Macaca mulatta: one gene and its partners. The main gene of each other region encodes a partner of the protein of the gene in region 7 in a complex. Links are inferred from orthologs where the notes say so. Each region holds a gene or a part of one and is shown on either strand. Other genes may lie near its edges.

The links.
Region 1: the proteins of GNB1 (region 7) and FFAR2 are in contact, whole or in part, in a cryo-EM structure (PDB 9CM7), measured with the Homo sapiens proteins. The link is inferred for Macaca mulatta from reciprocal best matches to the Homo sapiens genes GNB1 and FFAR2. Residues at the interface, in NP_001269468.1 of Homo sapiens: Arg52, His54, Leu55, Asp312, Ser334, Phe335; in NP_001357016.1 of Homo sapiens: Arg37, Gln38, Pro39, Gln40.
Region 2: the proteins of GNB1 (region 7) and KCTD5 are in contact, whole or in part, in a cryo-EM structure (PDB 8U7Z), measured with the Homo sapiens proteins. The link is inferred for Macaca mulatta from reciprocal best matches to the Homo sapiens genes GNB1 and KCTD5. Residues at the interface, in NP_001269468.1 of Homo sapiens: Arg52, Gly53, Leu55, Lys57, Tyr59, Gln75, Asp76, Gly77, Lys78, Thr87, Asn88, Lys89, Val90, Ala92, Pro94, Leu95, Arg96, Ser97, Ser98, Trp99, Met101, Leu117, Gly131, Asn132, Val133, Arg134, Val135, Thr143, Tyr145, Gly162; in NP_061865.1 of Homo sapiens: Val157, Arg159, Val160, Leu161, Gln162, Cys163, Gln164, Glu166, Glu167, Gln170, Met171, Thr174, Met175, Ser176, Asp177, Trp179, Ser190, Tyr191, Val205, Lys207, Leu209, Glu219, Ser221, Lys223, Ala224, Leu227, Gln228, Arg230, Gly231, Ser232.
Region 3: the proteins of GNB1 (region 7) and GRK2 are in contact, whole or in part, in a crystal structure (PDB 5UKL), measured with the Homo sapiens proteins. The link is inferred for Macaca mulatta from reciprocal best matches to the Homo sapiens genes GNB1 and GRK2. Residues at the interface, in NP_001269468.1 of Homo sapiens: Leu55, Ala56, Lys57, Tyr59, Ala60, Gln75, Asp76, Gly77, Lys78, Pro94, Leu95, Arg96, Ser97, Ser98, Trp99, Val100, Met101, Leu117, Tyr145, Ser147, Asp186, Met188, Cys204, Asp228, Asn230, Asp246, Ile270, Cys271, Asp290, Phe292; in NP_001610.2 of Homo sapiens: Tyr553, Gly556, Lys557, Asp558, Phe584, Pro585, Asn586, Arg587, Glu589, Pro597, Gln598, Leu600, Thr602, Glu604, Ala654, Leu657, Val658, Val661, Pro662, Lys663, Met664, Lys665, Asn666, Lys667, Arg669, Pro671.
Region 4: the proteins of GNB1 (region 7) and GPR21 are in contact, whole or in part, in a cryo-EM structure (PDB 8HJ1), measured with the Homo sapiens proteins. The link is inferred for Macaca mulatta from reciprocal best matches to the Homo sapiens genes GNB1 and GPR21. Residues at the interface, in NP_001269468.1 of Homo sapiens: Gln44, Arg46, Thr50, Arg52, Ala309, Gly310, His311, Asp312, Asp333, Phe335, Lys337; in NP_005285.1 of Homo sapiens: Pro57, Leu58, His61, Arg313, Arg317, Thr324.
Region 5: the proteins of GNB1 (region 7) and ADGRD1 are in contact, whole or in part, in a cryo-EM structure (PDB 7EPT), measured with the Homo sapiens proteins. The link is inferred for Macaca mulatta from reciprocal best matches to the Homo sapiens genes GNB1 and ADGRD1. Residues at the interface, in NP_001269468.1 of Homo sapiens: Arg52, Asp291, Val307, Ala309, Gly310, His311, Asp312, Asp333, Phe335; in NP_942122.2 of Homo sapiens: Ser593, Val594, Ser595, Arg598, His819, Lys822, Val823, Leu826.
Region 6: the proteins of GNB1 (region 7) and CHRM2 are in contact, whole or in part, in a cryo-EM structure (PDB 7T96), measured with the Homo sapiens proteins. The link is inferred for Macaca mulatta from reciprocal best matches to the Homo sapiens genes GNB1 and CHRM2. Residues at the interface, in NP_001269468.1 of Homo sapiens: His54, Leu55, Asp312, Asp333, Ser334, Phe335; in NP_000730.1 of Homo sapiens: Val50, Asn51, Arg52, His453.

The regions. Positions count from the first base shown.
Region 1 is NC_133424.1:46,711,541-46,715,840, forward strand, and holds the start of FFAR2 (free fatty acid receptor 2), read left to right. Parts: upstream 1-1,500; 5' UTR 1,501-1,627; exon of another isoform or gene 1,628-1,641; intron 1,642-2,085; exon of another isoform or gene 2,086-2,201; intron 2,202-3,304; 5' UTR 3,305-3,305; coding exon 3,306-4,298; 3' UTR 4,299-4,300. UniProt on the Homo sapiens protein: G protein-coupled receptor that is activated by a major product of dietary fiber digestion, the short chain fatty acids (SCFAs), and that plays a role in the regulation of whole-body energy homeostasis and in intestinal immunity.
Region 2 is NC_133425.1:3,916,721-3,920,817, forward strand, and holds the start of KCTD5 (BTB/POZ domain-containing protein KCTD5), read left to right. Parts: upstream 1-1,297; 5' UTR 1,298-1,324; coding exon 1,325-1,576; exon of another isoform or gene 1,577-3,627; intron 3,628-4,097. UniProt on the Homo sapiens protein: Its interaction with CUL3 suggests that it may act as a substrate adapter in some E3 ligase complex. Does not affect the function of Kv channel Kv2.1/KCNB1, Kv1.2/KCNA2, Kv4.2/KCND2 and Kv3.4/KCNC4.
Region 3 is NC_133419.1:7,118,544-7,122,751, forward strand, and holds the start of GRK2 (beta-adrenergic receptor kinase 1), read right to left. Parts: upstream 2,801-4,208; 5' UTR 2,459-2,800; coding exon 2,346-2,458; intron 1,491-2,345; exon of another isoform or gene 1,309-1,490; intron 1-1,308. UniProt on the Homo sapiens protein: Specifically phosphorylates the agonist-occupied form of the beta-adrenergic and closely related receptors, probably inducing a desensitization of them. Key regulator of LPAR1 signaling.
Region 4 is NC_133420.1:24,744,776-24,748,815, reverse strand, and holds GPR21 (putative G-protein coupled receptor 21), read left to right. Parts: upstream 1-1,240; 5' UTR 1,241-1,845; coding exon 1,846-2,895; 3' UTR 2,896-3,766; downstream 3,767-4,040. UniProt on the Homo sapiens protein: Orphan receptor.
Region 5 is NC_133416.1:138,337,995-138,342,008, forward strand, and holds the start of ADGRD1 (adhesion G-protein coupled receptor D1), read left to right. Parts: upstream 1-1,214; 5' UTR 1,215-1,821; coding exon 1,822-1,887; intron 1,888-1,979; coding exon 1,980-2,016; intron 2,017-4,014. UniProt on the Homo sapiens protein: Adhesion G-protein coupled receptor (aGPCR) for androgen hormone 5alpha-dihydrotestosterone (5alpha-DHT), also named 17beta-hydroxy-5alpha-androstan-3-one, the most potent hormone among androgens. Also activated by methenolone drug.
Region 6 is NC_133408.1:176,693,419-176,697,657, forward strand, and holds the start of CHRM2 (muscarinic acetylcholine receptor M2), read left to right. Parts: upstream 1-1,439; 5' UTR 1,440-1,799; exon of another isoform or gene 1,800-1,980; intron 1,981-2,067; 5' UTR 2,068-2,225; intron 2,226-4,239. UniProt on the Homo sapiens protein: The muscarinic acetylcholine receptor mediates various cellular responses, including inhibition of adenylate cyclase, breakdown of phosphoinositides and modulation of potassium channels through the action of G proteins.
Region 7 is NC_133406.1:238,916,187-238,919,066, reverse strand, and holds part of GNB1 (guanine nucleotide-binding protein G(I)/G(S)/G(T) subunit beta-1), read right to left. Parts: intron 2,424-2,880; coding exon 2,222-2,423; intron 1,094-2,221; coding exon 877-1,093; intron 1-876. UniProt on the Homo sapiens protein: Guanine nucleotide-binding proteins (G proteins) are involved as a modulator or transducer in various transmembrane signaling systems.

The DNA of each region.
Region 1 (4,300 bases), on a different chromosome or scaffold from region 7:
GTGGCAATAACAGAGAACGGTCTCTCTTAGTTCTCCTGTTGATCTGAGAAGTGACGTGTGCTGGGGGGAAGGAAATAAAGAACTAGAACACCTTCAGAGGAGAGTAGAGTGGACGAGAAAGAAAAGATAAATATCAAAATATGTGGACCCTTATAGACCACAAAAAGAATAAATGACTGACTGACTGACTGACTGAATGAATGAATGAATGAATGAATGGCAAACGATAGGAAATAGGTATGTCCTAGGGAAAGAATGGGGATTCTGTGAGCAGGAATCAGGCCACAGACGGCAGAACAGAAACTTCTTCCCTAGACTTCTTCCCTAGGTCAAGAGGAAAACACGTTCTGACGATCCTTGCTTCCTCAGGTGTGCTTTTCAAAGAGACCTTCAGGAGCTTCTAACCTGGGGCTACCGAGGTCAGAGAGGGGGAAACTGAGACTTTATCAGGGAAAGGAATGGAGCCTGAGTGCCACTCCCTGACGAAAAGCCACACGGGCACGTGAACTCGGGCCTCCTGAATTCCTGACACTTTCCCAAGAGAGATGGCACGTCCATGCCCTGAGCCTCTGGAGGCTGCACCAAGCGGCTCACTCTCTATGAAGCTGTGTTACAGGCTTGGGACGAGGCAACACTAACGGGCATCTAGTAAGTGCTTACATACACAACCTCACTGAATCCTCGCAGAAGTCCTCGGATGTCAGAATTCACATGCTCACTTGACTATAAGAAACTAGAGTTCAGGAAACTGATCTGCCCCAAGGTTGTAATGAAGGGACCTGGATATGAGCCCATATCTATCTGCATAACTGTAACTCCCACACCATTTCTATCATAACGAGATGCAGGCCAGGACGGGCAAAAGAAATGTGTTGGGGGCAGAGGGCAGGAGACCATAGAGAAAGTAAAAAAAAATTGAAGAAGAAAAGGAAGGAGGGCTGGGTACAGTGGCTCATGCCTGTAATCCCAGCACTTTGGGAGGCCGTGACAGGCGGATCACTTGAGGTCAGGAGTTCAAGACCAACCAACATGGTGAAACCCCGCCTCTACTAAAAATACAGAAATTAGCTGGACGTAGTGGCAGGTGGCTGTAATCCCAGGGAAGCTGAGGCAGGAGAATCGCTTGAACACAGGAGGCGGATGTTGCAGTGAGCTGAGATGGCACCGCTGCACTCCAGCCTAGGCGACAGAGCAAGACTCACCCTCAAAAGGGAAAGCTCATTTCTGAGAATGAGCAGAATGACAGAAGAAACTGCCTGAGAAGAGAAAACAATCTGACTTGAGAAGTAAAAAAAGAAAAATGCCTGGCAATTTTTATTTTAATCAAGAATTAAGGACAGAAAAATCTGCATTTGGAAGTCAAGAGTGAAGATTCTCTCGAGAGAATAAAGATGCTGGGCCTTTCCTTTGGGTTTGAGAGGAAATATTGCTTAAAGACTGACCTTCCTTTCTCTGGTCACGTGGCTGGTGCTGGTATAAATGCTTCCTACCAACCAGGTTCCTCACCATTTTTTCCTGCATGGCATGGACAGAAGCAGGGGCTAAAGCTGTGTTCCTCTCTCCCGGAAACTTGCAGACCTCCCTTCAGAACCAATCCCAAGAAGCCATCTATCCGGAACAACACAAGGCAAGGCAGCTAGTGTAGTACTTGTGCTCTGGGAAGAGAGGCCAGGATCAGATTTGAGGGGAAGGTTCTAGGGGACTGGAGGAAGGATGTCAGAACCAAATGGAAGGCTCATATCCAGGGACAGGAGCTAGTGTGAGGAGCAAGGAAACAGCCAGGAAATCAAGGGTGGAGAGAGGATGGAGGGACAGGACCAGGGCTGGGGGCCAGCAAGGGTGACACCCCAAGTGGAAACTGAGTTACCCTGTGAAGAAGACGAGTTCTATTTATGGTCAGAATGTCAGGCTCAAGGGCCGGTGAAGCCTGTGGGCTTTTCTGAATATTTCTCTAAGGTCTTCTGGGGACAAGCCTTCCTCCTAAGGCTAGTGCTGGTTCATCCTTCCTCCCCTCCACCCTCCTCTAAGCCTCTCAGCTTCCCCTTTTCCATTTTTTTTGTTTTGTTTTGTTTTGTTTTGATGGAGTTTTGCTTTTACTGCCCAGGATGGAGTGCAATGGCACGATCTTGACTCACTGCAACCTCCGCTTCCCAGGTTCAAGCAGGTTCCTGCCTCAGCCTACCAATTAGCTGGGATTACAGGCGCCCGCCACCTTGCCTGGCTAATATTTTGTGTGTGTGTGTGTATTTTTAGTAGAGATGGGGTTCACCACGTTAGCCAGGCTGGTCTCAAACTCCTGACCTCAGGTGATCTGCCCACCTCGGCCTCCCAAAGTGCTGGGATTACAGGTGTGAGCCACTGCGTCCGGCTCCAGCTTCCCCTTTTCTTTTTTTTTTTTTTTTTTTTTTTTTTTTTTTGAGACGGAGTCTCGCTCTGTCACCCAGGCTGGAGTGCAGTGGCCGGATCTCAGCTCACTGCAAGCTCCGCCTCCCGGGTTTACGCCATTCTCCTGCCTCAGCCTCCGGAGTAGCTGGGACTACAGGCGCCCGCCACCTCGCCCGGCTAAGTTTTTGTATTTTTAGTAGAGACGGGGTTTCACTGTGTTAGCCAGGATGGTCTCGATCTCCTGACCTCGTGATCCGCCCGTCTCGGCCTCCCAAAGTGCTGGGATTACAGGCTTGAGCCACCGCGCCCGGCCCAGCTTCCCCTTTTCTAGAGAGTCCCAGTTTGGTGTTGGACAGAGGAGGACAAGGTGGGGGAGAATCTGTGCCCTGCAAAACAGAGGAAGGGAAGTAGGAAGCTGGGCTGGTGGCTGGGCACCTGGGTCCTGTGGAGAGCTGGCACTGGGCATCAGCGCCTGGGGCCCCACAGCCTCGTTATCCTGACACATGTCTTACAGCTCTCTCCCCACACTGATGCCTTTCTCTCCTGCAGGTCTCTGTCTGAGAAAGGGACTTGGGTAAAGTTAGAAACTGATAACAGTAACTTCCTGTATCTGTGAGGATAGGAGGAGAAAGGCTAGGGAAAATGGAGGGGGAATTCCCTTGGGAAGCCACGGGTTGGTCTCCCCCAGAGACACATGATGGCAAACATCATCACTACTGCTTAATATCCCGCCCAAGGCAAAGTCAATAATTGCTCTGGGTAGTTTGAGCAGGTGGTGTGAGCAAGCCGTGGTGGCATCAGAAAGCACTGTCCTGGGAAGGGGACGGTGCCGGGGAGGATGTCTGCATCCTGAACAAGAGCTGGCTGCACAGGCTGTGAGTGAGACCCCCTGACCCCGCCCTTTTTTGTTCTCCTCCAGGATGCCGCCAGACTGGAAGAGCTCCTTGATCCTCATGGCTTACATCATCATCTTCCTCACTGGCCTCCCTGCCAACCTCCTAGCCCTGCGGGCCTTTGTGGGGCGGGTCCGCCAGCCCCAGCCTGCACCCGTGCACATCCTCCTGCTCAGCCTGACGCTGGCGGACCTCCTCCTGCTGCTGCTGCTGCCTTTCAAGATCATCGAGGCCGCATCGAACTTCCGCTGGTACCTGCCCAAGATCGTCTGTGCCCTCACGAGTTTCGGCTTCTACAGCAGCATCTACTGCAGCACGTGGCTGCTGGCGGGCATCAGCATTGAGCGCTACCTGGGCGTGGCTTTCCCCGTGCAGTACAAGCTCTCCCGCCGGCCTCTGTATGGAGTGATTGCAGCTCTGGTGGCCTGGGGTATGTCCTTTGGTCACTGCACCATTGTGATCATTGTTCAGTATTTGAACACGACTGAGCAGGCCAGAAGTGGCAATGAAATTACCTGCTACGAGAACTTCACCGATCACCAGCTGGACGTGGTGCTGCCCGTGCGGCTGGAGCTGTGCCTGGTGCTCTTCTTCATCCCCATGGCGGTCACCATCTTCTGCTACTGGCGTTTTGTGTGGATCATGCTCTCCCAGCCCCATGTGGGGGCCCAGAAACGGCGCCGAGCCGTGGGGCTGGCTGTGGTGACGCTGCTCAATTTCCTGGTGTGCTTCGGACCTTACAACGTGTCCCACCTGGTGGGGTATCACCAGAGAAAAAGCCCCTGGTGGCGGTCAATAGCGGTGGTGTTCAGTTCACTCAATGCCAGTCTGGACCCCTTGCTCTTCTATTTCTCTTCTTCGGTGGTGCGCAGGGCATTTGGGAGAGGGCTGCAGGTGCTAAGGAATCAGGGCTCCTCCATGTTGGGACGCAGAGGCAAAGACACAGCAGAGGGGACAAATGAGGACAGGGGTGTGAGTCAGGGAGAGGGGATGCCAAGTTCGGACTTCACTACGGAGTAGCA
Region 2 (4,097 bases), on a different chromosome or scaffold from region 7:
ATGTTGAACTCCTGACCTCGTGATCCACCCGCCTCGGCCTCCAAAGTGTTGGCATTACATCGCGCGCGGCCAAATTTTTTTTTTTTTTTTTTTTTTTTTGAGACGGAGTCTCCCTGTTGCCGGGGCTGGAGTGCAGTGTCGCGATGTCAGCTCACTGCAACCTCCGCCTCCCGGGTTCAACTGATCCTCCTGCCTTAGCCTCCCGAGTAGCTGGGATTACAGGCAGGTGCCACCATGCCCGGCTAATTTTTTGTATTTTTAGTAGACAGGGGCTTTCACCGAGCCAGGCTGGTCTCGAACTCCTGACCTTGTGATCCGCCCACCTTGGCCTCCCAAAGTGCTGGGATTACAGGCGTGAGCCACTGCGCCGACCACGCCCGGCCTAAATTCTAATATACGAATTATATGGATTGAATTCATGTTCGGGGCCACGTTGTTGTATGCATAGAGGTACAGCCTTAAATGTGAACAATTACTATAAACTATATTTTAAAACTTTTTTCTGACTTTATTACATAAATTTTCTTCCTTTTTTTTTTTGAGATGGAGTCTCGCTCAGTCACCAGGCTGGAGTGCAGTGGCGAGATCTCAACTCATTGCAACCTCCGCCTCCCGGGTTCACGCCATTCTCCTGCCACCGCATGCCGAGTAGCTAGGATTACAGGCGCCCGCCACCAAGCCCGGCTAATTTTTGTATTTTCAGTAGAGACGGGGTTTCACCCTGTTGGACAGGATGGTTTCGATCTCCTGACCTCGTGATCCGCTCGCCTGGACCTCCCAAAGTGCTGGGATTACAGACTTGAGCTACCAGGCCCTGCCCTTATTATATAAATTTTGTATTGGGTCAATGATTTAATCATATCATTTAATGAATCTGTTTATTCTTTTTTCCCCCCCAAATATTTGTCCTTCAGGGGTAGTTACCAGATGATCAATTTTCCTCGTATATTCGGTAGTCTTGTAATAAAAAGCATGTAGAGTGTAGACGTCTGCTGGTGTGGCTCCTCCTTCGACCGGTGCATGAGCTGGGGTCACGGTGTGGGTAGAGGCTAGGGTCTGGGTCAGGCGCTCACCCCGCTTTTGGGAAAGCGAGGCAGGTCGCCGCCGCAGTCCGTCAGCATTGGCGCCCAGATCACGCCGGTTCCGCTCCCGCCGGAAGCGGGCCTAGCCTCCTGCTTTTCCGGACCGGAACTTCCGCTTGTCGCGTGACGCCGGGGCGGGCGCTCTACCGGGGCGGACCTGTGGGCGGGACAGAACTCGGAGGACGCTATTAAAAGCCGGACGCTTCCGGTGGAACGGAGCTGTGGCGGGGCTTGCTGGGATCATGGCGGAGAATCACTGCGAGCTCCTGCCGCCGGCCCGGGGCGGCCTCGGGGCGGGGCTGGGTGGCGGCCTGTGCCGTCGCTGCAGCGCGGGGCTCGGCGCCCTTGCCCAGCGCCCCGGCAGCGTGTCCAAGTGGGTCCGGCTCAACGTCGGCGGCACCTACTTCCTCACCACTAGGCAGACGCTGTGCCGGGACCCGAAATCTTTCCTGTACCGCTTGTGCCAGGCCGACCCCGACCTGGACTCGGACAAGGTGAGGGCCGCGCGGGCCAGCCCGGAAGGTCCTGGCCATCCCGGCCTGCGGCTACCGCACACGTTCTGCTTCGTGCAGAGGAGACCTCAGCGGGAGCGGGCGACTCTCCTCGGGCTTCGAGCCCCGCGATCCCTTGTCACCAGCTCGTCCCCAGCTTCCCCCGACCCCCTACTCTGGGAGGGGAGGACGAGGATGGCGCCCTGGAGTCCACTGCTTTGGAGGATCCTGAGTCGCTTCACCCTGGGGTGTCTCTTCCTCGCCCTCTTTGCTTTTCGGTGGAGGAGGCTTCCCAGATCCTGGACTTTGCTGTGATTCTACTTTCTTTTTCTCAGTAGGTTCTTTTGCCCAGGGTGTGTGAACGCCTTCTCTTCTCTGTCCTAGGATACTTGCTGGCTCTGGAAACAGAACCCTTGCGTTGCTCTGTCCTTTCACATTCTGGACGTTTGAATTAACGCTGGCGCGGGGGTTGACATGGGCGGCCCTTTTTTTTCCCGGTGACTTGCATTTAGAGAGTTGGCTCTCCATCCTCTCCATCCACAGCACGTATCACCCACTCAGCACCTCTTAGAAGATGCGTCCGTAGTATATAGTATGACTTTTCGAAGGGAATTTTGCTCATGTTAAGGGTTGCTTTAGGGTTGTCCAGGAAGAGCCAGGTAGGGAATCTTTCAGTCTGCTTTCTGATTAGCTTAGTTTTCTCACTGTCTTCGCAAAAAGACAGGAATTTCCAGGTTAGTTTGCCGCTTGTCTTTCATCAAGCGAAATGCTCATGCTGTTGGGCAGATGGCAATAGAAACCTTTTATTACCTTTTTTAAGAGTTGTGAAGCCGAGGAAGAGTGTCTTGGGAGTTGTGCAGGATTGAAACTTAGAAAAAAAGCGTGTTTGAAGAAGATGTTGCCTGTTTCTTCAAGGCAGTTCACAAGCCTTACACTAACTTTGCTGGGTCTGTCAGTTGAGCTTACATGATTGCACTTGGCTTTGTGCCGTGGCAGCCAACATTTGCCATGCATGAGCCTTCCCAGAAAGGCTCGGATCCCTCTTCAAGTTTGAGAAGCCTGACTGAAACCATTCTCAGCATGGCATGACCATGATCAGGAAAAGAGAATCTGGAGTTACTGCTAAGGCCGCCTTGTGGGTAGAAATGAGGGTTTGAGATGCCAACACTCCTGACTCTCCCCACAACTTCCAACTGTTTCCATTGCTCATTTGACCAAGCCGTCTCCTCAGAGAATTGACTCCCAGGAAATGACAGTATAGGCTTTTGTTAGCTGTGATTTTCCTTTCATAAGGGTGGGTGTATGTTTTACTGTTTGGTTTTTCTTTTTAAATAGCAGGGCTTAGTGGTCACTCCCTTGCCTTTCTACTCAAGCGTTCCTGTTTTGTATGTGAAATTAGATTTTAAATTGCTCTTGTTCATTGGATTCTTTGAGGCAATGTCTATCTATTCAGCACTGGAGCACTTGATTGAGAGCTGATTAACTTTAGCACAGTTAAGGTGGTTCATCCCTTTATTTTACAGTTCCTTAAGATTTTGTTAAAAATTATGGGCTGGGCTCGGTGGCTCACGCCTGTAATCTCAACAGTTTGGGAGGCCGAGGCAGGTGGATCTCGTTGGAAACCAGCCTAGCCAATATGGTGACGTCCGGTCTCTAGTCAAAATACAAAAAATGAGTTGGGCGTGGTGGCAGGTGCCTGTAGTCCCAGCTACTCCGGAGGCTGAGGCAGAAGAATCGCTTGAACCCGGGAGGCCGAGGTTGCAGTGAGTCAAGATCACACCACTGCACTCCAGCTTGGACGATAGAGCAAGACTCTGTCTCAAAAAAAAAAAAAAAAAAAAAAAACAACTTTACTGTAGGAATCAATTCTTTGGGGAAGGGATAATTAATCTTTCCGAATATATCTATGTTATACTTGCTCTTTTCATCATCCTCCATTTAACCAGGTTTGATTTCCAAATGGTAAAACTGAAACTCAGAACATGAAGGTAAAGTAGCAGTACAGTCTGTCTCATAAAATAGTTGGAGTAGGGGCCGGGCATGGTGGCTCACACCTGTAATCCCAGCACTTTGGGAGGCCGAGGCGGGTGGATCACCAGAGATCAGGAGTTGCAGACCAGCCTGGCCAACATGGCGAAACCCTGCCTCTACTAAAAATACAAAAAAATTAGCTGGGATTGGTGGCGCGTGCCTGTAGTCCCAGCTACTCGGGAAGCTGAGGCAGGACTGTCGCTTGAACCGAGAGGTGGAGGTTGCATTGAGCTGAGGTTGCGCCACTGCACTCCAGTATGAGCAATAGAGTGAGACTGTCTCAAAAAATAATAATAAATAAACAATAATTGTAGTGAAGGTTAGTTTTAGTGATAGATAATTTGCCAGAAGTGTAGTGCTAATTCATATTAGTCCCAATACTAAAGTGTTTTTCGTCAAATGAGGAAATGTGTAAAATGCTTCATCTTAGTTTTTGTCTCCTGTGGCTCTGATGAAAGAATGTCCCAGGAGATTCCTCCTAATTAAATCCTGA
Region 3 (4,208 bases), on a different chromosome or scaffold from region 7:
CACTGGGTGTGCAAGGCAAGGCATTATGCAAAGGGTGGCTTGCTCCCTAATGCCCCAGGCCTGGACCCCCATGTAGGGGTGGCCCATAGCCCTTCCCAGGCCTTAGCACACTGACATTCGGCGCTCGCACCTCCAGTCCATTTCACAGATGTGGGCAATTTGCGGAAGGCCATGCTGCTGATGGTGACCCAATGTGAAAACCTGGGCTGCCTGGCTCCGCCTCCTGCTGTCCTCCTAGAATCCTATCCAACCTTGTTTCTGCTCAGGACTGCCTGGGGCGTCACACAGTCCTGGTATTTCTTGGGCAACTACTACATGCAAGGCATGGCCTTGCCAGCTTCACAGGTTGGTTGAAGAATTGAGAGGACAGATGTCAAAACAGGTAAGTCAGTAATAACTCCTATCATTATTGCTATCATCGCCATCACTGCTGTGGATGGGAAAGGGGACAGGAAAAGAAGAACATCTCGTTTCTCCGGGTTCTGACACCTGCAGAGCCAAGGCGGCACCCCATCAGAAGCAATGCATTCTGGGGGGAAAAGTACACGAACGCAGACAGTTCCAGAAAAGGTCCCACCTCACACATTGCCGAACTCCATCCTGCAGGAGGGTCTCAAAGCTGCGGCCACGAAGGAGAGCCGTTTTGAGCCCTAGAGGCTGACTCCCCCATTTCCTCCCTCGTGGGTTTGTCATTTCTGAACTCATTTCTGCACTAACCGTCACTGCTCCCTGGACAGCCCCCAGCTGACAGTCAGTCTGGTTCCTGTTTTGAGAAATCTGATTGCAAATATCTTAGAAAAAAAAGGCCCTAACGGCCTTTTCAGAATGCAGACCAATTTTCCTCTCCCCGGCCTGACGTTCAGTCAATCCAAACACCCAGTGAGCAGGGCATGGCAGAGGGGGCCGGTGAGGGCCATGGGCATGGCACCCCTGCAGCGTCAGCCCAGGCTTAGACAGACACTTCAAAGGCTGAGGGACATCACAGAGTCACAACTCTTATTTCACGCCATCCACATTTCACAGATGAGAAGACTGAGGCCCAGTGAGGGAAGGGACTTGCCCACAGTCACAAGATAAGACCACGGCAGTGTGGACAGGCCCCATTCCCAGCCTGCTGGGGCACCAGGAGGCTAACTCTCAGGCATGCACGAGGAGTTGCCACACGACACAAAGGACCGTGGCGGGCACATCTGCTCCCTGGCGCAGGCCAGGGCAGCCAATGAAATGTAGAACCGGAAGTCTGAAGCCCTGATCTGTTGGCCAGGTGCCACCTGAGACTACCTGTGTGACTTGGCGCAGGCCACTCACCTCTGGAGCTTCAGTTTCCCCACCTGTTCCACAGGGACAAAACCACACCTGTCCTGGCCACCCCATTCGCTGCTGAGAGGCTCACACAGTGGAGAGATACTCCATCAGCCATAAAGAGCTGGACAAACCGCAGCAATCGTCCACATCCTGTGTACTTTTGCACCTACATCCTGAACAGTCTAAACTTTGATACCAGGTGTGATGTCAGTTGTCTTACAGGGGCGGCAGCTAAGGTCCAGCTGTTGCCAGTGTGCTGGGAGGGCCCCTGGTCAACAGCACCCACCGGGCACCATATGCAGTGCACGCCCGAGAAGGAATGTGGGGGAGAGGGCACGGCATGTTTCCCCCACCTGAGCGCGGTCCGAGGGGGAGGGCGTCCGCAGCACCCTAGGTCCTGCTCACCACGCCGCCCCGAAAGCACTCTCAAGCCCAACTACAGGATAGCGACTCCACCAGAGGGTGGGAGAAGAGTCCGGAAAACTGGCTGTCCCCCCACACCTCACACAAGTGTAGACTGGAGGGGAGACGGGTGGGGGTAGTGGAAACCCCAAGGCGGGTGCCGTGAGCAGGGACAGCAAAAGGGTGGGTGACATCGTCAGGCGAGGTAAATGGTGGCCGGCGGAGGGGAAGGGACCCCACAGGGACCAAGGGCTGCTCGGAGGAGGATGAAGGGGCGCGCCGGGCCCCTGTGGGAGAAGGCGGGAGCTAGGGGCTGACAGCGACTGGAGCGGGGGGCCGGCGGAACGCGATAAGGAAGCAGCAGGGCGGCCGGCGGGACCGGAGCGGGCCCGGGGGCCGAAGGGGCAGAGGAGCTCCGGAGTTGGGGCGCTCCGGGCTCAGGCGCCCGGGGTCTGGGGCTTAGCGTCTGGACCCGCAGGCGCCACGGCCGGGCTGCTCCGGGCTCGGGGGCCGACAGAGGGTCGCGAGAGCCGGCCCCGGGGGTCCAAGTCGCGGGGTCGAGTGTGGGGCCAGGGTCTCGGAGTCGCGGCCGGGGTGCCCGCGGGGTCGGGCCGGGGCCGCGGGCGACTTCTCCTCACCTGGGCTCGGGCAGCAGGATCTTCTTGCTGGCGCGCGCGGCCGGCGTGGCCTTGCTCTTCTCCATGGCCATCAGGTAGCTCACGTCGGCCAGCACCGCCTCCAGGTCCGCCATCTTGGCGGCGGCGCTGCCTCCTCCCGCCGCCGCCGCCGCCGCCGCCGCCGCCGCTCCCGCTCGCTCGGCGCTCGGCCCGGTCCGGCCGCGGCTCGGTCGGCCTGGGGCGCCGACGCCTCCCGCCTGGCCCCGCTCGGCGCCCGCGGCTCCGCTCGCCGCCGCTCACAGGCGGCGCCGCCCCATGGCGCCGGCTCGGGCCCGGCCCCGGCTCGCGCTCCGCTCCCGCCGGGACTGCAGTCGGGGCGCCGCCGCCGCCGCCGCCGCCGCCCGCGCGCCCGCGCCCCGGAGCCGCCGCCGCCTCCGGCCCCGCCTGCCGCGCACAGCGCCAGCGAGCCCGCAAGTGGCCGAGCCGGGCGGGCGATGGTGCCCCCTGGAGGCCGCGCGGAGACCTGCGACAGAGGGCTCAGATCCTGGCGGTGACCTCGGGTCTGGACGGAGACCCGGGCCTGGAACAAGACAGGGACCCGGCACGGAAGACGATCCCAGACCCATTCCTTGACCACAACCTCGGGTCACATCTCTGAATCCCAGGCTCTCCAGTCAGGCCGTGGTCCTGACAACAGACATGATCACAAGGAACCTGGACGCTCACCAAGACACAGATTCAGACCTCTGAACACCACCCCGGGGCTTTCATCTCAGACCCTGGCTATAACCCCAGACTCCCTGACCTTTGACGCAGTCCACGACCTGACACCAGACTCCAAACAGGACCCCAGACTCAAACCTTTGCCCGCCACCTCAGACTCTAACCATGACCTCAGATCACAGCCCTGGGTCTCCAACGCCATACCCAGACTGTGACACTCACCCCAGACCCCTAACAGTTCCCCAGATCCAGATTTTGGACCATGACCTCGATCTCATCCTGGTTACTGACCCCAACCTTGACTCTGACCCTAGGCCACTACCATGACCCTGCATCCTAGACTTGGGGTCAGGGCTCAGACCTAGATTGGACTATCAACTCCAGACCACTGTCCTAGGCTCAACACCCAGAACTGTGGACACAGACTTGGGACTAGGACATCTAACCTGGGACCCACATTGGACCCAGAATCCTTAGTAGGTCACCCAGAACCTGGGATCTGACAACTACAGTCCAATTACAGCCTTCCCCCATCCCCGATCCCACCCCTCCTACTCTAGAACCAATCCTGGCCCCTGCAGGCCCACTCTGGATCAAGTACCCTACACCCAACCCCACCCCCTAACAGGCTCGTAGACCCAGGTCCCTGGCCAGCACTCTTGGCAGCTCCCTTCCGTGTACCCCATCCCATCTAGACGCTCCTTCAGGATGGTTCCACATGTAGGGTGAAACCTCTCCCAGCCTGGGAGGGCACAGAGGTTTCAGTGCTGCCTGGTAGGGGAAACCCACCCGAGAGCCCACCCAGAGTGAGGAAAGCCAGGTGTCTCAAGGCAGCAGTCCTATCTCAACATGCCCCTCTCTAGACCCTCTCTTTGCTTTTGAAGTGATAGGACCCTCCTCCCAGCCCTGGGCACATAGAGCTCAAATCTCATTACCATGTTGTGGGCCAGCAACCAGGATCCTTTTGCAAAGCAAGGCTCCCATCTCTGTGCACTTCTAGGCTACCTTCTTGGATCAGTCCCAACAGAACCTGGAACCAGAGCATATCAGAGCTAGTGAGGTTCTCCTCTCAGTGAGTGGTGAGCCCCAGGTTTCTTTTCCCTAACTGCTCCTTCATTTTCTCCCCTTCTCTAATTTGTCACTATAGTCTCCTGTCTGGCC
Region 4 (4,040 bases), on a different chromosome or scaffold from region 7:
AAATTACACATTTTCATAGCACCCAACTCTGTTACCTGAAAATTGTCATCATTTATGACATTACTAGGAAAACCACAATATAATCCCAGTTTGCATTGTTTTAAATAGGCAGAAACAAGATTGTATATTCTAAGATACAAAGGCTTATTTGTACCATGAAACCTCCTGTAATATCCATGCCTGAGTAGAAGAAGGTACATTTACTTTTCTATCTTTTGTTTGTATTCTTGTATACTGCTCAGCAAATTAGAAGCAAGAAATGTATCTCAAAACTATAGGGTAGTGTCAAATATGGGAACAATGTAATTTCTCTGTGCTATTTCTGTAGTATTCAGAATGGGAAATACTTTACTTTTCTCTTGAAAAAGTGATTTTAAAGTTTCTTGGCCAATATTCAGTGAATCATGAGAGACAAAATTAATGGTGAATAGCCTTCTAGCTAGAACTTCTTGTGCAGCTGAATTATGATTGTCAGTTGCCATATGCCATACACTTAAAGGAGGTTAATATACTTCCTTTCTTTAATATTGCTCTTTGTTCTTTGGGAAAATGCCATGAGAAAATAGGAATTACCACTCTGGCAGTGTGTTTCAGTCTAACTCCTGACACCCTGTTCTGCTCCTGCCCCTTCTCCTTGCTAGCAGCCTGAATTCTGCTTATCTACTAAAAGGGGGATTCCAGACAGACGAGGAAACAGCTTTCAAATGAGGCACTGCAGGCATAGCAAGCCATTCCCACACTGTGCAATCTGGAAATCAGGGGGCACCTCTCTGACGATGAATTCCAATTAGTTGCTAAAGATTCCGGAGTGTGTGCACATACAGGCGTTTTCTTTCCCCTCCCCCTTTCTTCTTTTTCCCAAGCCCCCTCTTCTCCCTGTTTCCCCTCCTACTCCTTTATCCCCTCCCTTCGTGTCTCAGTTCTGCAGTACGCGAGTTGAAGCACATTCCTGCTTTGCAAGGCTTTCTGTTAAGGATGTATTGTGGCTTTTGTTTGGATTGCAGCATGCAGAATTACAGGTAACATTCTGAAATTGAACTAAACAGCAAATTCTGTTGAAATGTTTTCAAAGAGGCAAAATATTATATTGGAATCAATGAAGAAAGTAAATTATTTTGGCTATTTTTATTAGTGGTAATTGTAGTGAAAGGTTTTCATAAATATTATAAGCAAATTCCCTTTTTCCCCCAAGTCTCAAATGAAAGGAAATGGGGGTAAATTAATCTGACTGTGATTGGTTTTGTTTTATGCTGATCTTGAAAGCTTGATGTTGCTGCTGCTCCTCTATACAGTACAGATCAGTTATGTGGGGTGCTATTGAGGGTAGCCATGAATAGTGGTGCTAGTAGGGGTGGAGTGGGAGGGATGATGCCAGCCTGAGCTAGCCAGGTTCTTTGATTAGGGCATTGGATGTGAAATGTAAAATGCTCTCTCCTTTTCTTCTATCAGCTGTTCAGAGGAGACTCATTACAACTCCTGCTGAAGCTCCTAATCTTCTTCCCTTCTCTTCTACCCTTTCCCCCTACCCTCACTTGGCCTGAAGACGTTGTCCCCAGAGTTTACGTTGCTCCCCTGGTGCTATGTGTATGGTGAACCTGGCGCTATGGCCACGTCTGGGACTGGCCAGACAACTACTGCTGGCTCTCCTTATTCCAGGAAGGATTTAAAGGGGAATTGCACTGCAGGCAATGCACCAGAGCAGCAGCATCGGGAGCTTGGGGACTAAGGCTCCTCTGGCATTATTACACACATGCAAAGCTGACCGCAATGACAGCAGCTGCTTCTTTGAACTGTTGGCAGCAGCCAAGCGGCAGCATGAAGTGACAGATCACTCCTGAGCTCAAGATGAACTCCACCTTGGATGGTAATCAGAGCAGCCACCCTTTTTGCCTCTTGGCATTTGGCTATTTGGAAACTGTCAATTTTTGCCTTTTGGAAGTATTGATTATTGTCTTTCTAACTGTATTGATTATTTCTGGCAACATCATTGTGATTTTTGTATTTCACTGTGCACCTTTGTTGAACCATCACACTACAAGTTATTTTATCCAGACTATGGCATATGCTGACCTTTTTGTTGGGGTGAGCTGCCTGGTCCCTTCTTTATCACTCCTCCATCACCCCCTTCCAGTAGAGGAGTCCTTGACTTGCCAGATATTTGGTTTCGTAGTATCAGTTCTGAAGAGCGTCTCCATGGCTTCTCTGGCTTGTATCAGCATTGATAGATACATTGCCATTACTAAACCTTTAACCTATAATACTCTGGTTACACCCTGGAGACTACGCCTGTGTATTTTCCTGATTTGGCTATACTCGACCCTGGTCTTCCTGCCTTCCTTTTTCCACTGGGGCAAACCTGGATATCATGGAGATGTGTTTCAGTGGTGTGCGGAATCCTGGCACACTGACTCCTACTTCACCCTGTTCATCGTGATGATGTTATATGCCCCAGCAGCCCTTATTGTCTGCTTCACCTATTTCAACATCTTCCGCATCTGTCAACAGCACACAAAAGAAATCAGCGAAAGGCAAGCCCGCTTCAGCAGCCAGAGTGGGGAGACTGGGGAAGTGCAGGCCTGTCCTGATAAGCGCTATGCCATGGTCCTGTTTCGAATCACTAGTGTATTTTACATCCTCTGGTTGCCATATATCATCTACTTCTTGTTGGAAAGCTCCACTGGCCACAGCAACCGCTTCGCATCCTTCTTGACCACCTGGCTTGCTATTAGTAACAGTTTCTGCAACTGTGTCATTTATAGTCTCTCCAACAGTGTATTCCAAAGAGGACTAAAGCGCCTCTCAGGGGCTATGTGTACTTCTTGTGCAAGTCAGACTACAGCCAACGACCCTTACACAGTTAGAAGCAAAGGCCCTCTTAATGGATGTCGTATCTGAAGTGGCTCAGTTACGGGGTTCCCCTGTGTGTGTGTGTGTGTGTGTGTTTTATCTCTAAGTATTCCTCATTCACTAGGAAATCTGAGACAGAATACTTTGACTCTAAGCAATAGCATGCAAATTATTCGTACGGATACCTTCTAAGTTTGTAGAAATGGTTTTCAAAAGTGCTTTTGAATTAGAAGACTTAAGATCATGAAGACAAATTGCTGTTGCTTTCAATTTTTGAAATGTCTTGGAAATGACTACAGTTCTCAGATTTAGAATGAATAAAGCCATATCTAACACCTCTTTCCAGCTGGCATGACTGAACCTGAGTGTGAAAAGCGTCAGCATTTTAAAAAGTCATCATTTTGTTGTCACTTTGTGGGTTATTTCCAGCTATTTAGGCTTCATGTGCAATTGATTTCTTCTAACAGGGAATAGTAAAATATAAATTAAAAGGTTTTAGAAATTATTTTTTATGTATGCCAAAGCATAACTACACTGCAAGTTTCAACACTGTCATTTAGAAAGCCAAATGTTCTATGTTTTATTCTCTTGAGAGAATTCTCAGTAGGGTGAATAATGTGAGCACATAAACACTAATTTTAGAATTTTACAGTGAACCATGAAGCAAAAGTGCAATCAAATTATACAGTTTATGAAAAACTGTGCTACTTTTTGTGCCATACTTCACAGAGATCTAAAGATATGTGTGCATAGAAGTGATCATGTTGTAGTATTTTTGCCTGTGCCTTTGTGTTATGTCTATATTTAGAATATCTGAATTGTTAGATTTATCTTTTATGGCAAAATGTGTTTAAGCTAAAAAATAATTCAGTGATAGGCTGTTGGCTGTACATTTTATAACAGTGACTATGTACAAAAATGTGTCTTTAATATTGTCTGTTCTTTCTATTCAAAGACTTCCGAAATATTAGAACATCAGGGAGAAGGGTATCTGTCATAAGCAACTGAGTCAGAAAGTATCCCATAGTATACTGATTGTTTTTTAAAAATATAAGGGAGCTGAGACATTTTCTTTGTGGTTAAATGGAATCAACTAGTTATTTTTGAAAAGTATTCTTTCAGTTAGTGCTAAGGAATCCACATTTGAAGAGGGGAAGGGGAAACTCTTAAGTCTCTTATTGCTATTCTCTTTC
Region 5 (4,014 bases), on a different chromosome or scaffold from region 7:
GATAAAGGTTGTAAATTAGTTTTCCCTGAAGCCGACCAGCCTGAGCAACAGGATAAAGGTCGTTATTACAGACAGCCCTGGGCCTTTGGAGTTCACAGTTTCTCTAGTGCTAGGAGATGGAACTCTCTGGAAACCTTCTCCAGCTCCACAGAGAGGCTCAGGCTATCAGAGGATCTGAGTGGTTATAGGCTGCAGGCACGAGTTAAAAATAATCACCTAACGTTTTGACAGCACTTTCTTTTTTTCTATCCCACAGAGATTGGAAGTCATTTCTTATCCTCTTTAGGAAGCATGTTGGATTCGGGGTTCTTAATTCCCATTTAAAGTCAGGACGATTGAGATAACTGTATCAGCTAACGTTTACTGGGTGTTGTGTTATACTTGCTAATAATAATCATAGCTAACATTTACTGAGTGATAATTTTTCTTAATAAAAAATAGCAGCATTTATTGAGTGCCACATATTTTCCAAGTACTGCCTGAAGAGCCTTGGATCTGTCCTCTAATTTATTGTTACAGCCCCGAGGAGGAGGAACTGTTAACCCTCATTTTGCGGATGAGGAATTTGAAAACAGAGAGATTAAGTAGTTTGCCTAGAAACACAGCTGGTGAATGCGGGAGAAACTATGAAGGGTAAGTATTACTGAAATCACATAGCAAATATAGCTGTGATTGCAATTATAGGGTGTGTGTCTCTGTGTGTACACGTGGATTTGGAATAGATAGGATAAACTTTGGTCTTGGGTAAACTGAGGCATGTCTGGAGAAGGGGCTCTTTTCTGTCACACTGAGAACATCCTCCTGGTGCTGGGGTGGGGGGATATGCGGTATGGTATAATTGGGCAGCGTACCTTGTAATTAATTCTGTAGCTTTCACTGACGTCTGAAAGGATTAAAGAGAAAAATGTGGTAAACACTTAATATGGAGGGCACAGTGGGTGTGCTGGTTTTTCTTTTCCATCCCTCTATCAACTTCATTCTTTCTCGGAGGCAAACAAGACTCAGATCTAAACAGAGTTTATGGTTTGTTTTGCATTTTGTATTTATTAATATTTATGCTGACTTCGAGGGTGCCGACCAGAAGGCATCAGTAACACACACACAGCCCGTGTCTGTCTGGCTTGATTCTGAGCCTGAGATCCTGAAAATATTTCAGTTGTTGTTAAGAGGCTGGAGTTAGGACCCAGGAAGGACACAGCAGTGGGGATATAAATAGAGAAGGAGAACAGAACAAGGTTTGAGGAGAGAGACTTACATCACTCACTCCCTCTCCACCCAGAGAGCGGGACGGAGGTGTGAACTTGAGCCAGACCAGAAGGAGCTCCAGAGCGGCCGCAGGACGAGTCCGAGGAGCAGGCGGGCGCTCCAGGGAAAAACCACGCACAAAACCTTCTTCAGAGAAAAGGGAAGCACCAAACCTGACCGAGACAAACGGAGGCTTTTTAAATAAAAAGAAAACACCGCAGGACAAACAGCCTCCCATCCCCGGGCGCAGGTCGCGGTCACAGTGGTGACCTGGGATTGCTTTCCCAGGACTGTGAGTCGGATTTGGGTTTCTCCTCCCTGCATTCCACAGCTGCTCTGGTCATCGCAACGTGTTTATTGATCACTGAAGAATCTCAAGTTTTGAGACAAGGAAGAAACACCCATTAGGTCTCCAAAACAGCTGCGTTTCACAAACTTTAAGGAGACAGAACTTTTTTTTCCCCCCTGGAACCTGTGAAAATGTCCCTTTTCCAAGGAAGTGAAGGTTAAGAGGTCCTGTTCTCACAGACCCTCAGGAATTTCACTTGGCTCCGAGCTTTGACCTCCCAGAAAGCCATGGCAAAGCTGCTGCGGCTGTGCTGCTGGTACTCCCGCCTGCTGCTATTTTGTTACAACTTTCAGGTAATGTCCCCAAGTGGCCAGGATGGAGACGGGCTCGGTTTCTCTGGAGGCTTTCCCCGAGCGTCTCTCACACTGTGGTCTTTTGTGTGCAGGTGCGTGGTGTCTACTCCAGATCGCAGGACCATCCAGGTAAGAGTGTTTCCTTCTCACGCTGAGCACCGCCCTCCCCTCCCTGCCTAATGTGGTATCCCAGGAACAGCCCACTTGTTCATCTCTGAGGCCTCAGCGAATGGCCCTTGCTGGGCTCCTGGTCCTCGACCTCACTGCCCCACCACACGCTGTGGCCCTGGGCAGCTCCGCTACCCCTCACCGGCCGAGTGGTGGACGGAGAAGCGGTTCTGGGCCCCTTGAGCTGGGTCATATGAAACGTGATTCAGGAAATAGGATCTCCTCCACTTGAATGCCTTGTCTGTCCCTCCCTCCCTCCCTTCCTTCCTTCCTTCCTTCCTTCCTTCCTTCCTTCCTTCCTTCCTTCCTTCCTTCCTTCCTTCCTCTCTCTCTCTCTCTCTCTCTTTCTTCCTTCCTTCCTTTTTTTTTCCTAGATGGAGTCTTGCTCTGTTGCCCGAGCTAGAGTGGCCCAAACCTCCGCTTCCCAGGTTCAAGCAATTCTCCTGCCTGAGCCTCCCGAGTAGCTTGGATCACAGGTGTGCACCACCACGCCCAGCTAATTTTTTTTTTTTTTGTATTTTCAGTAGAGACAGGGTTTTACCATGTTGGCCAGGCTGGTCTCAAACCCCTGATTTCAGGTGATCCGCCCGTTTTGGCCTCCCAGAGTGCTGGGATTACAGACGTGAGCCACCGCACCCATCACATGTCTTCAGGGCAGTTTCACTGGGGGACACTTGGAGCTCTGGCCCATAGCAGGGTCTTGGGACCTCCAGCCTCAGAGTGCTGACCAGCTTAGCCTGGAGCAGCCCATGAGTGGGACTCAAGACAGAGGGCCACCCTTGGTCTGGCCCCAGAGCCACATTCCTTTGGCCATTGTGACACCAACCAGGAAGCATCAGGATGGGGCTTCTCCTGGGAGCACAGGGAGGCACACGCCCTTTGCTGTTGAGAGTGTGGGCGCACGTTCCGGTCAGCCAGGGGCAGGGATGGGAAGACCAGGCTTTCTGGGAGTGGCGGGCAGTCACGGGGTAGTTGCTTCCTGCTGGAAGTTGCAGGAGATGGGGAGAAGACCCTCTAGTGCCTGAACCCCTGCTGGGAAGCCTGTTGTGAGCACAGCCACCGCCCCAGCCCCACCAGAGCTTGGCTGGGCACCTCCCTGAGCACTATTGTATGGCCCTGCCTGTCTCTGATGGGAAACCAGCCTTTTTAAAAAAGATTATTTTTATTTTTATTTTTTCAGACAAAGTCTCACTCGGTCACCCAGGCTGGCGTTGAGTGGTGAGATCTCAGTCTCAGCTCACTGCTACCTCTGCCTCCCGGGTTCAAGCAATTCTTGTGCCTCAGCCTCCCAACCAGATGGGATTACAGGCCCGTGCCACCATGCCCGGCTAATTTTTGTATTTTTAGTAGACACAAGGTTTTGCCATGTTGGCCAGGCTGGTCTTGAACTTCCAACCTCGGGTGATCCCACCACCTCGGCCTCCCAAAGTGTTGGGATGACAGATGTGAGCCACTGCGCCTGGCTGGGAACCAGCCCTGAACGATCAGACAGAAATGGGCTCAGGCCAGCCCTGCGGGCAGATCCCAGGGCGATGTCCAGGCCTCCAGGGAGAGCCCCTTTCCTGGGTGGAACACCAGGAGACTGCTGGGGTCTAGGGCCAGGGGCTGAGCCTGCTGGGGTCTAGGGCCAGGGGCTGAGCCTGCTGGGGTCTAGGGCCAGGGGCTGTGCCTGCTGGGGTCTAGGGCCACGGGCTGTGCCCTCAGCCTCTGTCTCCTCTCCGGCTGCCCGGCAGCCCCAAGCCAGGATGTTCAGGCATCGTCACCTCGCCACCACCTCCATCCACCAACGCAGGGGTGGGGACGCTGCCACTTCTCTTTCGTCCACATGCGTAAGGAGCTCCTTTTAAAAAGGTGTGGAAGCTGTGCGTTTCCACTCGTTCCCCTCTCCTCAGCCAACTCACTGAATGAAAGAAACAAGGGCTCCTGTGGCTTGGGAATGAACAAACACACGCAGCGCTG
Region 6 (4,239 bases), on a different chromosome or scaffold from region 7:
AAATGCTGGGAGAGGCTGAGAACAAAACTTAACAGGGCTGTTTTGATTTTCTCACAGGTATCTTATAATCACCCAGTGATGGTGGGATGTGAGTATGGAGGTTGAAGGCAGAGGTACAGTATTATAATGCTATATTTTAGGATGACTTCAATCAAGCAAAATCAACTTTGTGTCAGGTCCTGCTTGGTGATAGCTATGAGTTAACAAAAAGGGCAGAAACTTTCAGCTACAGCATTTCCATTTATCAATAAATTTACATTGCTATAAAATTAATCATTAGATTGTCAACTGTTACATAGATGTTTCATATGAAGTGTCTTTTCTTGTCAATAGGAATAGAAGCCTATAAAAACACAGGAGCGGTGGATTTTGCTATTCTGGATGTCCTTTAATACCTAGCAAAGCCCTGGACATCAAGAACTTAACAACTTAATTGACCATATTATATTATATCAATGTATCTTTAACTTGCTCTTTGGCTATCCCTGTGACCCAAAAAGTGATATGTCCAATTCTGGGCTATTTAATTTAAAGTTTCCACTTCTTGCTCTTTATTTGATTGAAGTTGGATGAGAGAAAATACAGCCTATGTAATATATATCGATGTTATAGTCACATACACATATGCCTTTACAAAAGCAAGTTTTGGCCTCAGCTACACTTTAGAATCCTATCATTGTACTTTTGTCAAATGAGGTTAGTATCTAAAAACTAATGGATACAATTATTGGAAGAAATTTCTCATTAAAATAAAGGAATAAACATCAGAGGCAGGTCTGAACACAGAAAGTTTGCATCCTAATTTTTTTTCATGGAGATCACAAATTCCCTGAAGCATCAAACATATATATATATATATATATATTCTGTGTGTATGTGTGTGTACATATATATATTCTGTATATATATATATTGTGTGTGTGTGTTTGTGTGTGTGTATTCTGTAGTCTACTGCCCATTAGGTGAAGAAAACATGGTCACTGTCTCATGTTTAAAATAAGAGAAAAAAAATTACTTCTCCTTCGAATACATTTGTCAACGCTCCAAAGAAATAAACAATATGTGAATAGTTCAGTACAATTATATATTTACAAAGCATAGGGGGTTTAGTCTAACATTTTCCCACCTGAATAAACTGAGCTTAAGTATCTCCGACAATCAAAAGGCAATACTGCGTTCTTCCCAATATGCCATGTCACCTTTGTAGCACTCACACACTTGCAGGGAAGGGACTCGGGGTTGGGGGTGGTTCTGATGTAGAAATTGCAGATGGAGAGCTGGGCTCTGGGGATGGAAATGGAGAGGAGCGAAAAAGAGCCTGGAGAAAAGGCTGTCATATTTGCTCAGAAGAACCGCCAAATCAGAGAGCACAGAAGATTTCATTGGGGGAGAGCCTTCAACAGCAACTAATCCTGTCATACTGAAAGAAAATTGTAAATGTTCTCTCCAGAAACTGTCCGTCCATTGCAGCTAATCGAACACACACGCACGAATACAGACACGCTCTCCTGCTGTACTAAAGGCGCCCGGGCGCAAAGACCTACGGAGCGCGCGCGGGCGCACACACACACACACACACACACACACACACACTCACACGCTCCAGGCTGCCGGTTGGCCAGAGCCTGGCAATCGCAGATTTCACCAGGAAATCGCCGAGATACCGGAATAGGTGTTGCCTCCCCAAAACTAATTCCTACTTCCCCAAGCACTTTGGGGAAGAAATGAATCCAACCCAGCTCGCCGAGGCATCCAGGTCTCCGTTCTATTTTGGTCTCCAGGCTCTTCGTGAAAGCCAGGTTTGAAAGTCTTGTTTGCTTCTCCTTTAGTGGTTTGGCGTGGAGGGCGGGGGCAGCGTCAATTTAACTCCAGTCTAAACCACGAACAGGTCACAGACTAGCCAAGTGGCTGAGACGAGTGTGGGGTGCGTGACTCTGCCTGCAAGCGCGCCAGCCCCGCAGCTCTCGCCAGAGCCTTTGGGTCGGTTCTCTCCCGCCTCTCCCGCCTCTCCCGCCCCACCCCTCCAGTGTCTCGGCATCAACTAATCTTTTCCTTTTCTTTTGCAAGATCAAGGGAGAAAGAGAACCGGCGGCTGGCCTCGGACTCTAAGCGGTGCGCAGCTCCAGCCCGGGCGGATCGGCCCTGAACCCACAAACGGCTCCTCGCTCCTTCAAGCCTCCACCACCTCGCAGCCGGGGAGGCAACTGGAGCGAAACCAGCGACAGGTAAGGGCCCCGCGCTGTGCAGCTCTCCGCTTACCCACTCCGAGGACCCTGGCACCAGGGGGTCTCTCCCTTCATATCCCCCCAAACCGGACGCTCAGGGGTCGGGGCTTGGGGGAATTGGAGGGAGGTCCTCCCCACGTGCAGATTCTCAAACGGAAACTTTGGATCCTGGGGCTTGGAGGGTTGGGGGCAGTGATGGCGGGTATGGAAGGAAGGGGCAAATGAGGCACAGCGCGGGGCGGGGTACCCCTACGATTCCGACGGTCACTGAGTCCAGCCGAATGTGGCGAAAACAGCCTCGGAGCCGCGCTGTCCCGGCATCGTTCCCAACAGCCCCCCATACCCTCTACTGTTGCCGCCCCCCCTCCCGCCACCCACTCCAGATGCGGCCATGGACAAGACAAGGAGAGCTTCGTCCCTCCCGCCCCTCGGGTTCCTTCCTGCTGGGGTCTGACCGCGTCTTCTGTGCGTGTGGGATGGAGGCCCGGCTCGCCCGGGCTCCAGGCTGTCCCCCGGCTCCGCTTTCGAAGCAGCCCTTGGGGGCTGGAGAGGTTTCCCATTGCGGTCTCCGGGTCATGGCCAAGGAGGAGAAGCATTAAGAATGGGGGAAAGGGTCCCAAGACAAAGGAGAGGGAAGCATTCTGCAATCCTATTCTATTTTAGCCCCTCGCAGGAGCTAGACTGTCCGCCGTGGCTAGGGGACAAGGTCTCAGCCCGAAGCTCATGAGGTACCAGACTGTGCCTGGGCTTTGCCACCTAACTCACAACGGGTCCTGAACCGCCCCGGTAGTCCCCGGGGTCGTAGATTGGGGACCGCTGTACGCCTCCCCCCTCCCCCCAAGAATGTCCCTTGCAGTCCGCACCTGAGGTCCCAGGCAATCGCCGCTAACTTGTAGCTCTCGGACCCGGACAGGTGAGGTGCATGCCTGGTACCGGTAGACGCGCAGAAATTCCACCTATGCGCGCTGCCGGGCGCCCCTGGGGCCCCTCACGGGGTAAGTAGAGACTCCTCCGGGAGAGGTGAAAATTCCCCAGCATTAAGAACACACACGGCGGCACACCCTTTGCCTCCGTCGGCCTCCAGCACCCGCATCCCTTTCTCTATCTTCCTGCTCATCGCCGACCTCGAGGTTGCCCCGAGACACAAAATTGTCCCAGGCAGAGTCCACCGACCCGCCAGTCCCTGGCGATGTTGTCAAGGCTCTTGCATATACGGAAATACCAGCAGGGAGGGTCGCCAGGGGCAGAGAGGCTGGAGGAGAACAGAGAATCGGAGGTAAACGCGTAATGCCAGCAGAACTGTCGGTGGACATTTCACCCAGACTGCCCTCCCACATCCTTAGGTCAGTTCACCGCCACAGCAGGTCTGTGACGGCGGCCACCCAGGGCTCCAAGTCTTCCAGCCCCGGCGCCGCGAGCCAAGAAGAATGCGGCGCCTCCCACTCCTCAAGCTCCGGAATCCCCCACATTGACTTTCTATTTCCCTTTCTTCTTTTCTTTTTTGTTTGTTTTGTTTTTCCTGCTCTTTTCTTAGCGCTGGGTGGCAGTGGGTATGTGGCAGCCGTGTGATTTGCCCTTCCCCTAGTACACGCAGCCAGAGACACAAGCACACAACGACCAGTCCCCACGCTCTGCCACACGCCCTCCAGAGCTCTGGCGCGCAGCCCCTGCTCCACAGCTCGGGGCGCCTGCAGCCACCGCCAGGGTCATGGCCATGGCCCAAGCAGGGCTCAGAGGGTGGAGAGGGGAGTCAACCTAGACTCCAGAGAGAAACCTTGGGACAACCCTAAAGGCCTTCTGAAAACTGGAACTGGGTTAGGCACGAGGGGTGAGAGACTCTGGCGAAAACCGGCCGGGCTTGCGGAGCCCTGAGGGCTCCTGCGGCTGCAGCGCTGCAGACCGCCCCTGTCTCGCCCCGCCCCGCCGCTGGGCGTCCCCGCCAGCAGCCCACCCGCGGGCGGCAGCTTTTCTCCATCCTGCCCAGGGAAGTTCGATGCCTGGTGCTGGGATGCGC
Region 7 (2,880 bases):
CTGTCACATGGTGAGGGGGGCCTTCTGTCAACACTCAATAACCTTCGATTGGATCATCACCAGCCAGAAGCTCCACTTCCTCCCAGGGGGATCTGAAGGCCCATTTCAGCCACCCTCCCCCACCTCCTGCAGACACCACACAGCTGAGCATAGGGGCCAGTGTGTGCTCTGCCAAGGCCTGGGCTGGCTTCCACCGCCTTTCAACAGCACTATGACTGTGGGACTTGGCCGGAAATGGCTCCACTTTGGTCCCCCCAGGCTGGGGAGAAAAACAAGGGTGTTTAACCAGGACATGAGAATGGCACCCATCCGGAAGCAGGAAGCCCCGGTAAGGGCCAAGACCTGGAGCCATGCTCCCTTCTTCTGTCCTCCCAGGTACTGAGACGAATGAATCTAAGAGTCTGTAAGTGTCAACAGTTCTCAAATTGAAATGCCCAAATGTCTACTTTTAGTAAGGAAGCCTCATCTTTTGTACATCTAGTGTTTTAATACACCTGGCAATAACATGCTTGCCTTTGATATGTTAACTGTAACAGCACCCAGAGGTGTCCCTGCATGGCGCTCTGCTCCCCTGATGCAGAGTTCAGAGGGGAAAACATGGGACTGGGCCCTGGAGCCTGCACAGCTGACCCTCTCCTGCCCACTGACCCTCCCCAAAGCCCTCCCCCGCACATGTGGGAAGATCTGCTGGTGCTCTTCGGAGTCCACTTGCCTGGAGGGCCAGAGCTGGGCCATCAGTTTGCGACTATCACTCCTGCTATACCATGCCACAGTCCCACTGATACTAAACACTGCAGCTTATCAACAACTCTGTGTCTGCCCTAAAGATGCCACATAAATGTCCAGGAGACACAGAAAAGCCCCCCGGTCACGTACCTGCCCGGTCGGCTTTGAGCGCGTCCCAGACGTTGCAGTTAAAGTCGTCGTACCCAGCGAGGAGGAGGCGCCCACTCTTGGAGAAGGAGACAGAGGTGATCCCACAGATGATGTTGTCGTGGGAGTAAGTCATGAGCTCCTGGTCGGCACGAAGGTCAAACAGCCTGCAGGTGGCATCGTCTGAGCCAGTGGCAAATGCATTGCCATTTGGAAAGAACTGGAAAGAGAAAGCAAATCAAGACATCATGTTAACACTCAGAAAGAAATATTGGGCATATGGACTGCTCAATGGTAGGGCTGCAGAGAACACAGCAAAGACCAGCAAGACTGTGCTCTGGTAAGAACAGAGGGATGGGCCGGGCACAGTGGCTCACGCCTGTAATCCCAGCACTTTGGGAGGCTGAGGCGGGTGGATCACCTGAGGTTGGGAGTTTGAAAGCAGCCTGACCAACATGGAGAAAACCCGCTCTACTAAAAATATAAAATTGGCTAGGACTGGTGGCGTGCACCTGTAATCCCAGCTACTCGAGAGGCTGAGGCAGGAGAATCGCTTGAAACCGGGAGGTGGTAGAGGTTGCAGTGAGCCGAGACTGTGCCATCGCACTCCAGCCTGGGCAACAACAGCAAAACTCTGTCTCAAAAAAAAAAAAAAAAAAAAAAAAGGCAGGGGAGGTTTCCCAGGAACTACAGGGGATTGGGATGGAAGGGGATTTGCACTGGGGAAGCACATAAACACTGTGATCTTGGACACTGTGATTACTGTCCCCAAAGAGTAGAATTTATTTCAAAGGAATAGTGAGAAAGGAGTCATCACTGACAGGTGCTGTAGCTGCCAGACATCAGGGCTAATCTCATGGAGGAAGGAGCGAAGTGGGCTGAGCAGGGCAGTGGTCAGGACTGCAGCAGAGCTCTATCCAACCAACAGATACATCCTTCCACGTCTCCTCACAAGGCCAGGGGCTGGAAACACTGCCTAGCCATCTGCGTGCTAAAGAGGAGAGCAGGTTTCCTGGTTAGCTGTGCCCCTGACCAGTAAGGCTCTGTAACCGGTAACTGGTGGCCTGAGTTACCTTACTGTCTCTCCCCTCCAGGATCCCAACCGCTGCTCAGCTGTACAGGTGGGAACGGGGACTGGCACATAACAGACACCCTGTGAATATCTATAAGACAAGTGGTCAACATAGAGACGTTTCCCACGGGGAGTTTTCTGTATCCCCATCTGCAGACGAGGTTGTATAAGGATCAGAAAGGAGAACATCTAATCCAGAAAAGTTTAAAATTTAGCAATCTGAACGGCTAGCAGAGACAGCAGAGGCCCCGACCCCACACCTTCACCCAGACTCACGCAAATGGCATTGATGTCAGACTCGTGGCCGGTGAAGGTCTGCCGGCACATGCCTTCTCGCACATCCCAGAGTTTGGCTGAAGCATCACAAGCACCAGAGACAAACAGTCTGGTATCAGGAGCAAGAGAAAGGCTCATGACATCTCCAGTGTGTCCGGTAAACGTGGTCGTCTGCTGGCCGGTCTCGATGTCCCACAGGGCACTGGAGCAGGAGCGAATGACAAGGGGACATCAGCCTCAACTTCTCGGGTGGCTAGTCATATGACAGTCTGTCCTTCAAACCACCCAGGGCCACAGTGAGCCTCTGCACTGTTACTTTAAAAACGTAAATTGTTTAAAGACAAATTTAAATGTAATACAACTTTGGAAGGGAAACAAAGCAAAGTAAGCAAAATTATACAGAGATGAGCACACGGCCTGGGTTTCAGAATGACGGGATCACTACCTCAACTCAAACGCCAGCAAAGAGGGAGCTAGGGGCACTTTTCAAGCAGCAACACTGAGGCTGTGTCCCACTCTTCAGTCATGGATGGGCATGGAGGGGGTGGCAGGAAGCCATGGGGAGGCCCTGGATAGCGGAGGGGGATGCGACTCTACCTGTGGCTGCTCCCTCTGTGCCCTCCCCTGGCCTCCCCTCCACAGGATCTTAGAAAAGGCAG